Linked DNA regions of Drosophila melanogaster. The protein of the gene in region 2 interacts with the protein of the main gene of each other region in a pairwise test. Each region holds a gene or a part of one and is shown on either strand. Other genes may lie near its edges.

Region 1 (6,396 bases), on a different chromosome or scaffold from region 2:
GCATTGCTGCGGAAGAGGAGAATGTGAAATATGAGCGTTGCCTAATAATATTCTATTATTCTTAGAGCCACCAGGGCAAAAAGTTGGTGCAATGGATACTAACCATGACGCAACGTTGAAGTCTGCCCTGGAACTCGCCCAATTCGTGTTGAACGTAGTTCTGTGCCCTCGTCATGGGCGCGGAGCATCGATCCACACATCTCTGGACACTGTCCACGCTGGAGGTTCCATCCTGGCAGCACTTGGCCGCACACAAGTGCATCTCATTCTGGAATTTCGTGAAAAGCAAGTCAGTTTCGGGATATCCCCTAAAGCGAACTCCACTTACCTGCATTTTGCGCAGGTGCGTCTTGTCCATGTCGTCGATCATCTCCGTTACCGCGGCCTCGATTTTCTGGCGCTGTTGCTGGATCATTTTGCTTGTTTAATTGTTAATTACCTACGTCTTACAACCGATTTCGTAATATCAAAATAAATGCCGGCAGCGTGTTTTTTGTAATATTCGATTAGTGATGAGCCGACGCAGCTGCTAATAATCGATTAGCAGTCTATCGGTGCCGCTCTTCTTCTTTGGTTTTCCACTTGGTTTTGGTTTTCTTGTGGATATTTTTGAGCAATATTAAATTAAAACCATGTCGCTCTTGCAAAAACTAAGCAGATCTGGTGTACCGATGGCTTCATTAACCTGTCGTTCCCGAATGCCAATGGTCATTCGACTTATCAGCGGTAACACAGAAAAACCGGCGGAGGAATCTACTCCCGCAGTGAATACGGAAACGGCGGAGATTGGCAGCAGCAAGGGAGGATTCGCCCGTGCCTTCGACAAGTACACGGCACCAGCCACGCCTCCACAGCTGCCGGAAGACAACCAGACCTTCGCCTCCCTGCTGCGCAACTCCAAATTAATTGATGTGGGTACATTATTTAAGTAATCCCATTGTTTATGTAATAACTTGTTGATTTCTGGAGCAGCTGGACAACGCCGAGGGCAAGGTGGTCAGTGGCAAGATCTTTCATGTGGTGGGCGATGATCTCTACATAGACTTTGGTTGGAAGTTTCACTGCGTCTGCAGTCGTCCAACACGCAATGCCAGGTGAGTTCAATATAATTTCCTGTCTCTTTATCCAATAAACCGCCTTTCCTACTTCAGCGACTATGTGCGAGGAGCCCGTGTTCGACTGCGCATCAAGGACTTGGAGTTGTCCACCAAGTTTCTGGGTTCGTCCAAGGATATTACCATTCTAGAGGCAGATTGCCATTTGCTGGGTCTCCTGTCCACGCCCACCCGCCAGTCGACGGCCAAAACAACGCCGAAAATCGAAGATATCCTATAAATCCTTTATTAAAACCAAGGTTTGTTAAACGTTACGTCAAGTCTTCATCCTCCTTGGTTGTGAACTGGAACACTTCGTAGTGATGGTTGAGTTCCCGCACCGAATGCAGTTGGAATCTCGTGGCTAGAGCTCCGTTTTCAGAGTTCTTAACGAAAAATACTCTTTTCGCCCTGCTATGTACCAGGGCCATGGAGCACATAAGGCAGGGTTCCTGCAGCAGATAGATATCGTAGCCGGTGCACAGATAGGGTCCGAATTTGGCCAGGTTATCTGCTCCTTGAACTGCGTCCACTTCTTTGCATTCTCTCGACTTTTCCGCTCCGAATGTCAGGTCTTTGTAGTCTTCATTGTTCATCAGGTAATCGTAGTAGGCTTTAGGAATACCCCGCAGAGTGGTATCCTTCTTGAAATCTTCGGTGAATGTAACCTCCGTTTTTGTGGCGCCTCCTTCTTGACTGCGAGCCACAAAATCGACGAGCATCATGCAGCAGTGCTCGTGCGGCCTACAAACTTCACCAGTTCCAGCAATGGACACAATGCTGGGTTGTCGCGGATCCACGCAGATGCCCACCGGACGATTGGCATTGACATCCCGCGAGAGCCTCACAAGCAATTGCCCGATCCTTTTGTGAAATGTGCGTTGTGCGGAGCTAAAGTTGCTGCCATTCCTCAGTGACTCCGAGTAGTGATTAGGGTGAAACTTGCAGGGCCAGTGCTTAAGGGTCTTCTCGTACTGCACCCGCAGTCGGGGCATCCGTTCCGGCACCTCCACCACCCGGACTCCCTGGCACAAAGCACGGAGCACGTGCTCCGAAAAGGCAAACTGTTCAAGGTGTTGTTCCAGGCTTTGAGACACTCCGATCTCTGAGCTGGGACATATGAGCACGCTGCGATCCTGGACGCGCTTTAGGTGTTGAAAGTGGGGCAATTTCTGTGAGAGCTCCTGGATGACCGCCTGGAGCTGCTGTTTCGTCTCCAACTCGCAACTGTGCGCCTTGATGAGCGCAATATCCTCGTCGAACTCATCGGAGAGGATGGCCCGGATCCCAGTTATGTCTTCATCCAGATTGGGTGATTTTCGAGCACGTTTGTTTGGTGGCGCGGATATATCCATTATTTACTTAATTCTTCAATTAGAAGAATGCCAATTGGAATCGATTGAAATAGGTTATCGATAAGTGCCAAGCGCTGGCGTTGAAACAGCTGTTTGGATATTAAGCGCCAACTTTGAAAAATGTCTTCTATTTAAAATATGCATTTAAAAATAATTTAGTGAAAGATTATACGTTTAAAAGTCTTTAAAGCTATTTAGCTTGGGAGCTGTTTCAAATATTTCCTACTTTTGATATACATTCCCTAATACTTAATCTAATCAGCTCAATAATCTGATCAATTGTCTAATTTGCATTATAATTCCTTACAACCAATATCTTTTTTGATGTCTACATGTAAGCAGTGCCCAGTCTGATACCCAAAGTTTAAATTCAAAATTCCAGTGAAATATGTGCTTGTGATTTCTAGTCAAAACTTAGAGGAAACATCGAAATGTGTCTGCGCTTGTTTTGCGGCTATTTGTCGCTTTACATTGGCTGCATCTTCATCGGCTTCACGGGGATGCTTCTAGCTTTAATGGTCTTTTCTGTGGGTCTATTCGAGATGATCAAGGGCAATCCGGAAACAGTGCTTGTGGTCATGGCAATGGTCTTTGGCATTGTCCAAGCCCTAGCTAAAATTCTTCTTCTCCTCGGAACGATGTGGGTAAGTGAATACTTTTATCCTTAAATTTGTAAAGATATCCAATCGCTGTTCTACAGGACATGTGCTGGGCCATGCTCTTGTCCTTTTTTATAGGTATTGCGGCCCTGGGGCTCCTCATCGCACTTGTGGTGCTCTTCTACATCCTCTTGTGGGACCCTCTGCACCTCCTTCTGGGCGGTTTTCTTAGCATACGTAAGTTGGTGAAAAAATTTTGAATTTCTTTTGGATCTGAAAACAAAAGAAGATAGAGAAGTAGATTAATACATTAACTATCGAGAACTTCTTTCTATAACACACACACAACATATAACACAAACAAGCAACAAAACGTAGTGGACTTAAAAAGTACATAAATTCTATTCACGTTCGATTTTTAATTAAAATAATATTTTTCTCTTATCCAGTCGAGATGTACTACGAATGGGTCATCATTTCAACCTGGTGGTGCTGTCGATCATGCACCCACGACTGCTAGGAGTTGCAGTTGGTTCCACTTGTTGCATGCATAGAAGATACAAACATACCATGTTGGAGATCGAACGCCTTGGAATGAGCATACTATGCAACTCTCAGCGATCTTCGCATCGGATGTAATACTGTGAGCACCGAGAGAGAGAGAGAGAACTTGTATTCGAATCCCCCCATTATTTGTGTATGAGGTGACTTCGTGCTCGGGTCTTCCGACTTGAGTGTCTTTCAAGTAAGTCAGTTCACTCTGAGACGCGCGCTGGATATGTCGTTCCTGGAGCGCTCGAGCTGTTCCTGCGAATGAGCGTGTGTGTGCCAGTGTACCGCCCCCTACCCGTCAAGAAAAAAAAAAGGAAATAAAAATATCGGCAGGAAAAATATCAAAAATTATATCTGAAAATACACAAGTGTATCTGCAAGTGCAGTCGTATATGTGAGACGAGAGTGTTTTCCATTTGCCGCAATTAGAAGTAACGGTGCGAAGGTGATTTGCACGGGAGAAACTGGAAAATCAGCGAAGCGCGAGATACTTGTATCTGCAATTTGTGTGTTTTCGTTTTGTTTTCGGTTTCGCAAATAGCAAGTGAAGAGCCCATTACTTTAATTCAATCAACGATCGGTTGTTGTGTGGCCCGCTTTTGGAGAATCCCCACAATTTGTTCTAAGCCCAAATAAAAGTAATAAAATAAAAGCCCCAACCCCAGAGACAGAAGTCCGTGAGCCGGTTTAGTCATCCGAAAGTTCCGAGAACTGAGCGCAACATTGAGATACATTCGCGTATTCTCATTCCGAATCGCTGGACACCAGCTGTTGGCCACAATGCCTCCGTACCTGCTGGATATTTGCCTTACCTCGGAGCTTAGTAGACCGCGATAAGATATCGGCGACTAGTGGTGAATAAAGCCAGATACTCGTACTCGAAACTGCGAAAACGTCCATATACGACAAACAAACGGAAAAGAAAATCGCACAGTTCGGTGCCAGTGTTTAAAGTTAAATCGAGCGCTTATCTTATCGGCCAGCCATTGATTGAGCTTTGCCTTTCCGCTCTGCACCGGGTGAAGTCATTTGGCCACAATTCGCCCGTTTTAGATACTGTATCTGCGGCCATATCTAATGCAGCAGCCAAAGCAGTCGCGATAATAACGACCTCCTTCAGTGTCAGTTGCTCTGCAATCGCCGTCTAAATTTAGAGACAGATCAGGCGCGAGGGACCAGATCTGGCCAAAACCAAACCAGACGCACTCGGAAATCGTAAATCAAGCAGCCGGAGGAGACCAAGATGGACATAGAATCCGATTCGGACACCTCGGAGAGATGGGAGGACTTTTTTGGTAAGCGAACGGGATCACTGAACTTCTGCGTGCAGAAATGACATGACTCAGCGGGCTGGGGAGGTGCACTGAGGAAAAATCACGTATCAATCACAGATAGAGACTAGTAATATTGGTTTTCAGCATTTCAGACGACATTAGTCTACATTTTAATAATCCGTCATTGAAGGCATAAGAACATACAAAAGCTTAGGGTACTATATGTTTACAGTAGGATTATGAATAATATACATATGTCCCGATCTTATATTTCTTCCTGTGTGGGAGACACTACGCATTCTCCAAGAACTCCAAACTCCGAATATGGACTTGCGTACAAGAACAGACCATCAAGTTGGCTTTCTTTGGCTCGGCGGGTTGGGGGATGGTGATGGAATGGGGATTGCGGCTGGTGCTGGGACTGGGACTGGGGCCAATGCATTTGGTGGATCGACGGCACCGTTCCGTTCCCATAACTGTACAAAAAGTGGGGGGAAAATAAAATAACAACCCACTGAGTGGCATTGCGTGAATTGCGGTGTAACGGGTTCGCTTTGTTTTTGCATTCCGCTTTTGCGCAGTCCGAAATTTTTCGACATTATTTAAGCGCTCGAAAAGTCGGTTGTAATGAAATTTAATGATAATACATAATTTCGGGCCATTTTGACCCACATATTACCATACAAGTGTGGCCAAGAAAAGGTCTGTCTTCGGATTTGCAATTTATGTTTTGGGTGGCTCCATTCGGTTTGCTGACCCACTTAATTCGTAACGCCGATTTGCTTGTAACTTTGTGGCACATGCTGCATATTTGTTTTTCTTCTCACCGAAAGCTTTCGTTCAATTAAGTGCATTAGTCATAAGTCTTGACACTGCGTTTCTTTTGTTGACTTTCTTTATTATTATTGCACGCCCGCTAACAGCGGATGTTAGATAACGCCGCCCTTAGCGCAACAGCGCTGTAAGTAGCTCTGTTAGTTAACCCATGTTAGGCCAAAGAAGGTTTCCAAACTTATAATAATCAATAGTAATATGTATATGTAATAAGTAATATGTATTATCATACTAATTGCAAGTAACTCTATTAAAACTGTAAAACTGAATTTAAGCAATCTTTTGGCCAACACAATTCCAAACCAAATGTGTGAAGAGAGAGAGAGAGAATAACTAATTTAGTTAAGTACCTTCAAAAAACTGCCCGAAGAAAATAGTTTAAAACGGGTTAAGATGGTGCGTCAATTATTGATAACGGACACTGCGAATTCAGCAAGTGGCCTTTGTTATATCAATTATATACACATACATGAGTAGGGCGAATGAATCATGTATAGGTGATGGGGGGGTGTTGCGGCATTTATGGGTTTGTTCTGCTGATCCCACCAGCTTAGACATAGACGATTGTGCAAGTGGTTGACATTTGGCGGGGTCAGCAAACGTGACGCCATCTGTCGGCCGCATGTCCAGGATATTACCGATCGCATCGACCTATAAATAGAACCCGCCGAATGATATCGCCAGCAGT
Region 2 (7,176 bases):
TTAGTTCATTGAAAGGAGTTCAGTGGGGCCCAGGCAAGAGGTTGCTCCTCTGGTGCCGTTTCGGTCTCTGTTTGGGCTGCCAATATTTCAGTTGGCCTTATGACAGCTACAAGTGCGCCCCTTGATAAGCATTCCGACGATTCCGGTCCCCATGTCCATGTTGCGGATAAAGCGACGACAACTGGACGATGTGAGATGCGAGATGTGTGAGGTTTCTTCGCCAGACGAATGGCATATCGCAGGTTGCGCCAACTGCAAGTTGCCAGTTGCAGGCTGCAGGTTGATTCACGGCAGTCGCGTGGGACGCTCTGCTCCTCATCCTCATCCGCTCCGCACATGGTCGCGTGCTCCATTGTTTGTGCCTTCCCTGGAATTCCCCGATTCCGATTCCGCATGAATATGTCAATGTAATGATCTCCGCCCTTCTTCTGCTTCTTGTGCGCCCAGCCCCGTTCGTATCTGTGGAATTACATAAATATTAACTTGTACTTTTTATAAACATGTTTGCGCACCACAAACTGAGGATTGCCGTCCTGGTCATGTTGAATTCCGAGCGGAGGAAGGCTTCGATTGATATGATTTATACACTAAAGACTACTCCAAACGGGCTTCATTCCTGCGGAATAAGTTAGTTGCAGTGCAGCAAGTTTAGTCTATTGACATTAAACCTGATCTAAAAGTATCTTAGAGCAGCATTCTCGCATTAGAAGCTGGCTACAAATTACGTTCTGGTTTTTAATCAGACTGCGTACAGAGTTAATTAAAACATTACTGGGATCAATGATATAATTGTTTAATAATTAGAGCAACAATAGGAATAGCAATGCACTAACACTAATGTAATTGGTTATTTTAGTAAACTTTTATGAATTCATTGATTTTCTTACCAGTTTTATCCAGTTTTTCTTTCTTTGAGCAGGTTTGTACATTTTTTTCCCAAACCGCCTCGAAATAACACCAATGCCGCATTAATCAGCGTCAATAGAAGCAGCTCCTGTCCAAAAGGATCGCTAAGAGGACTCAGTTGCGTTCCTGTCACATTTCGCTTTGCATTTGCCATGCCGCATTTTTCCATCATTTTCTGCTTCTTCCCGGCGACACCCCCGCGCCCGCGCGAAATATGCGACAGCCCTGACGAATGACTTGACGGCGAAATGTGCTCAAACAAACATAAATTCCGTGTCCGCCGGGATTGGGATTTGTTGACTGCTCCTCCGAGTGGCTGTCCCGAGTTTCTCCCAATGTCCTGGCCAAAAACACGCAACGAGAAACGCCAGAAAAAGCCAAAGTTAACAAACGAAACGAAGGATTGCCAGGTGCGCGTGCTGCGCCAAACGAAATTGTAGTTTTTTGCGCGCGGATTGTGTCATAACTCAAGGAAATGATAAGGACGGATGGCCAATCCTTATCACCCAGCACGCGAATCGGTTTAAACTCACTCCAGCTCACTTTTTAAGCCAATTTAATGGGATTTTCGCGGAAAGAAAAACGAAACCGACGCGTCCACTTGAAACCGTAAGTTCTGCGATCAGCAAAAAAAAAACGTGTGGCAACATTGCCACTGGAAAACTTTAACCCTTGAGCTTCATCTCGACTTTTACATTTATAACTGTAAATAAACAAGTGCTTAACGATCGGTGTAAGTGTGTCCACACCACAATCGCTAAAAATTCCCGTTTAACCCCAATTACAAGCATGAAACACATTTTTTTTTAAAATTTAAATGTACTTTTATTTACAAGTTAAACAAAATGTGTAAATAGAAAATATGTAAATTTATGCTTTACTCTGTTGGTGCTTGGTCGTAATTGATTTCTTAAAGCTGGCAGTGCTCAGTTACGCTCGGCTATATCAAATTGAAACCGATTTACTTCAACATTTTGGAATATATTTAATATTATTTATCAGTTGTTGTTGAGGTAGTAATCTCAATTGCTATAAGGCCTGTAAAATTTAGAATAAATCGCTTGCATTGCCAATATATCGGTTTCCATATAGTCCTTAAAGCACACGCATATACATATATTTGTAATTCTAATTTACAGCTTGTGGAGTTTTATTCATTATTAGCTCCCATATAAAGTCTTCTGGTTCTTCTGGTTAATCTTAATAATATGTAGAAAATGTGTAATTCCTTGAGCATTATGTTACACCTAATCAGTTCGATTTGTTGTAAATATTCTCTTACGATTCTTACAATATGTTTGTACTTAACTAGCAAACAAAACAAAATAATTTACGTCGCATGACACGTAAGCAAACAATGAGATATTCATATCTGATCCTACAGATATAGGGTTAACAAAACAATAAACGCGAAACTTAATCGACGTCCAAAAACAATAAAAACTTCAATGTAACGCAATGAACAAAATGTAAGCAAAATATCAATTAAATACGAAACAAGGATCGAATTCTGATCATCCCTATCGCTTATCCTCCTGGGATTTCACACCTGGAAATCATTGAAAATGGTTTCCGTGACACGGATCTTCTCCACGCGTATATTGAACATCGCAAATCCATTCATGATGTTGAAGGCGATGGCGAAGACCACCAGCGCCAAGTACGTTCCCAAGGCGATCCACCAGAGCAGCTGCTCGTGGAGCTTCTGCTCAAAGCTCTTGAGCACCAGCAGCCCGATAGTTAGGCCAGCAATGGCACCAGCCAAATGGGCCACATACGAAACAGCACCCGCCGTTTCCGCCTGATCTATGGCCAGGAATTCACTCGATGATCCCAGCTGCAGTTCGTCGCCAGCATAGCGAGCATAGATGGCAAAGCCAAAGTCGAAGGAAACTAGAAGAAATTGAACTGTATTAACAACAACACTAAGGTGCGGTAGGCTAAACACTCACCGAAGACCAGAATGTGAAGCAGCTTGATGACTCCATAACGCATCTGGTGATAGTTGAGAAGCACATTGGCCAGGTGGGCGGCTAGCAAAGCGTATACTCCACCACTGGCGCCCACAAGGAACACATCCGGGTCAAAGATGCTAGTGCCCAGGCTTCCCGCCAGCACCCCGGAGAAGTAGATGCAGGCTATCCTCGTGGAACCATGAACCATCTCCAGTGGCAGCCCAAAAACCAGCTGAACTGCCACGTTAAAACCGAGATGCAGCCACCCGGCATGGAGTACCATGTAGAAGAGGAAGCGCCAGATCTCGTGACGCTTATCGGGACGGTAGATGAACATGGAGTCCGAGGGTATGGGTCCCCTTGGCGCCGCCTCACCCGTGACCACTGAGTGGTAAACAAAGAAACCCAGCTGGGGGAAAAGTAGTTAAGTAGTCAAGGGTCTGTTCAAGGAGAACTTAAACTTTCAACGCACCTCCACCAGAGTAACCAGGATGATGAAAAAAGGCGGCGGACAGCAGGTGTAGCGATCGGCGTAGTACTTGCGATCCCGCTCCTCGGGCAGGATCTCCATGGCCACGGCGTGCACCATTTTGCGAAAGAGTGGCGGTTCGTTTAGCACCAGCTGGAAATCGTTTTCGGAGCAGACTTCACGATCTCGATGGTGTACGGCGCACTTAAAGCTACGTGTCCGCTTGCCGCTCATCTGGAATTAAGTATGGAGGTTTAATCAGCAATAGTTGATGCATATTTAAGTGTAAAGATAACCTGCAATTACATATCTAGCTATGGTACTGCGATACCTTTTTCGATGTAATTGATATAGCAATATATGTATATTCCCTAAGATCGTTATATAAACACCACTTCGGGAGTAAGCAATATAACAAAACATTTACTAAGAACTTCGCTAAGAAGAAAGTGATTAGAAAATTTTCAAAATTGTTTCTACTATTTCGCCTATCAAAAAACTCTCCCATTTTAGTAGCCTTTTGATACAATTTCAGCAATTTATCAGCAAAGACTACAGAAAACTTCAGTACCTTTCTAACATCACTCGAATACGGATCAAACATAACTAGAAAATAAATCTTTTAGACAATTTCTAATTTCCAGTTTTACTACAAATCTTTTTCAAAATGTCGAAAATTTATCTGAAGGCCATGGAGGATGTGGTGCAGCGAAACACGGACAACACAAACCGGATTACGGAGCAGGCGCAGGGATTCGTGGTGTCGGAAAATGCCGGGGACAGTCTGCTGCACACTTCATTCGATTTGACCACGGCCCAGTCGATTGTGAAGCACCTGCACGCCAGTTTCCTGAAATTGGCCCAGAGCTGCGTCCGTGATCTGGATACCGATGATAAGCTGTGCTTTCTGCGCGTGAAAACCCGCAAGCACGAATTCCTGGTTAGTCCAGAGGAAGCCTTCACTGTGACCGTGGTATTGTAATCCCCCAGCCCATCTAGGGGTTAACAGTTTGGACATTGTTGCTTGCTGGTGGACAAGGGAGAGAAACACCAATACACACCCACTATCGCTACAGCTGTCTCACTCGCTCATTGTTGATGCTTTCGTTGAAGATCGTCGTACATGTTTAACCAACCCCCCACCCCCCACCCATCCAAAAAAGAAAAAAGAAATCTAGTCATAAAATTATAAAACGAACATTTATGCGTGTGACCGGACAAACTAAATTATGTTTATTATGTAATTAAGATGTTGGCACAGATGCCGATGTCAGCCATTAAAACAAACGCAGAGCGGGCAAAAATCCGCAAAAAGCGGAAAATAAGCATTGTGTTTAATTAAAAGTGAAGCCTACACGCAATTAAAATGCTCGTCTACGACGATTGCGAAAATAAAAAGGCCACAAATTAAGCTAGCCACGGCCTTAGGGCACAAAATAGTTACTTCCGCCAGTCTGGGAAGGGGGAATTTATGTATCTTCTAGTTAATCAGCGCTAGGCGGACTCTTAATGGCAGTAATTATCAAATTTTGTTTAATTGATAAGCCTCCTCTGGAGGACTGGAGGCTATGTCACTGGAATATCATATGGGTGGCTACTCTGTTCTTGCGCGGGTGTGCACTAAATACTCCCTTCCAGGGAAAGCGCCGTTTTTCTTGTATTTTGTTATGTACATATTAACTGTAATATTATTCACATTCTCCGAGCATTTCACTTACGCAACGAAACAGCAGCGTTCCTGCTTTATTAACTTAATAATCCTTATAAATTTTTCATTACGATTAAAGTTTAAACACAATGAACACTTAACATTGAAAAAACGACCGAATTTACAACTTTCCCGCCAGCGTGCCGAAGTTTCTATTCGCGCTCTGCGCTTTGTACTCTTATCCTCCTAGTTCTATTTCCATTCATTCCGCTTAGTAGTGTTGCACAACGCCAGCTGATCGATCATCGAATCTAGAGCGCTAAGATCAAAAATAAACAGAAATCAGATTTTACTTCCGAGTTTCCGATTTGGGCCAATTTCTGGGTATTAAATTGTTTCGATTCGCAGACAAAGGGCGCAGAGAATCTGTGTTGTCAACAATGGGAACACCCACACGCATTGTGGCCGTGTGACAAGTCGCATTTTCGGCAAGATCAAGCGATCACAACAAAGTGCCAACAGGGCCAATAGGGCGAAATTGTATTCCCAACAAATGATTGCTTATCGTTTGTTTGGCGGACGCTGGCTGCTGCGGCTGATAATGTCATTATCCTGGGCGCAGAGCAGCGCAAGGAGTCCGAGTCCTGCACGCCGCATGACGTCACCAGGTAGGCGACTTCACCGCCATTTAACGGTGCTAAAAGCAGACGGCACAGTTGTGAGCAAAAAAATAGGAGCGCCACCTATAAATGTACTTGCAACTCTTAAAATTACAGTTTACTTATTAAATTGAAGAGAGTTTACTTGAAATTGTGTGTGATCAAATTTCTATACAGGTATGTACTTTAACCAACCCTACCACTATTATCTTGGCCTCTGCTGTAACCTCGCTTCATTCACCTTTTGCAGGACAAGCCGACAAATTGACGCAAAACATTTAACGCTGGAAATTGGGATTGGGATTGGGATCGGGTCGGCAGACATGGTCAAGCGGGACAGGACAGGAGCGAGGAGTGAGGGGATCGAAAGGCGAAGGACCACAGGACGACGTGGCCGGCTCGGCTCTCTCGCTCGCTCGCTCTGCGAGCCACAAAAAATTCCTTTGAATTGCGTCCGTTGCAGCAGGAGCACACAAACACGGCGACATGTATTTTCCGCATTTTTTGTTGCCTTCTGCCTGTGGCTATGCGCAAAAAAGGACATCTCCGCCGGCGGTGGCAGGATGACGGTGGTCCACAGGATCGGTGGTTCGTTGGTTCGGAGGTATTGTGTGTCCTCTATTATGCATTGCGTACGGCCTCGCCCGGCGTGTTGACATTTTTATTCCAAACAGTTGAGCAATATTTATAAACTGGCCGAAAAAAAAGGAGCGGGAGGTGCTGGAGAGGAGCAGGAGAGGAGCAGGAGGAGGATGATGCGGGGGTCATGGTGCATGATGCATGCCCAATGGCTTTATTTCCGGGTGACCGTGTAAAACGTGCTCGTGGTTTGCAGCCTATTAAATGAGCTATTTGATTAACATTGTTCGTTGTTACGCTAATGAAAGGACAAAAGCGAATATTTGGACTACGAGGCACAAAGGACACAGGCCCGAAGCCATTTTACAGGACAATTCATAAAAACATTTATAATGCAGAGCATGATATTTATATTCCATGCATGCAAGGAAGCTATGCATATTTATATTTGTAAAACGTTTTTTAAAAGCAAGGCAAAGTCAAGACTGAGTATTGATTTGAATATTATTTTAATCTAATTAAAAAGATTACTCAACTTATATAAGAATAATCTAATCCTCGAGATTGACCCTAGCCTTTTGCAATAAGCACTTAACTTTCCACAAACAACAATGTTCATAAACATCAGGCAATTCAAATATTTCTACATTAATCGAAATTGTACAATTTACTCTGCCACTCAATTACTTTGTTTTTCTTTGGCAGCTTATTAAATGCCACATTCTACATGCCCAGGAGCGAGGACCCAGCATCTGTTGATGTTTGCACGGGCGAAACACCTTGGAGTCCGGGGTAAAACCGCACGAGCCCAACCAGATGATGATCTAATTGAATGACAATATTATGCCAGGCCTAATTCAATTTGCATTCCTTGGGAAGAGGTGCAGATGGAGGAGCGAAGGATATGGGGCTGAATCTTAAACAAACACGACAATTACTGCCGACGGATGCACTTGTCCG

The links. The genes of interacting proteins can lie anywhere in the genome.
Region 1: the proteins of robl62A (region 2) and CG10927 interact in a two-hybrid assay, tested with the Drosophila melanogaster proteins (one large-scale study listed by BioGRID).

The regions. Positions count from the first base shown.
Region 1 is NT_033778.4:18,609,180-18,615,575, reverse strand, and holds CG10927 (uncharacterized protein), read right to left. Parts: upstream 2,487-6,396; 5' UTR 2,450-2,486; coding exon 1,367-2,449; 3' UTR 1,336-1,366; downstream 1-1,335. Other genes in the region: CG5323 (uncharacterized protein), read right to left, coding at 1-6, 104-268, 329-415; mRpS28 (mitochondrial ribosomal protein S28), read left to right, coding at 633-911, 973-1,094, 1,152-1,335; CG42697 (uncharacterized protein), read left to right, coding at 2,881-3,093, 3,150-3,285, 3,498-3,568; GEFmeso (guanine nucleotide exchange factor in mesoderm), read left to right, coding at 4,844-4,895.
Region 2 is NT_037436.4:1,473,724-1,480,899, forward strand, and holds robl62A (robl62A), read left to right. Parts: upstream 1-3,895; 5' UTR 3,896-3,997; coding exon 3,998-4,312; 3' UTR 4,313-4,646; downstream 4,647-7,176. Other genes in the region: stet (stem cell tumor), read right to left, coding at 2,450-2,799, 2,859-3,270, 3,334-3,564.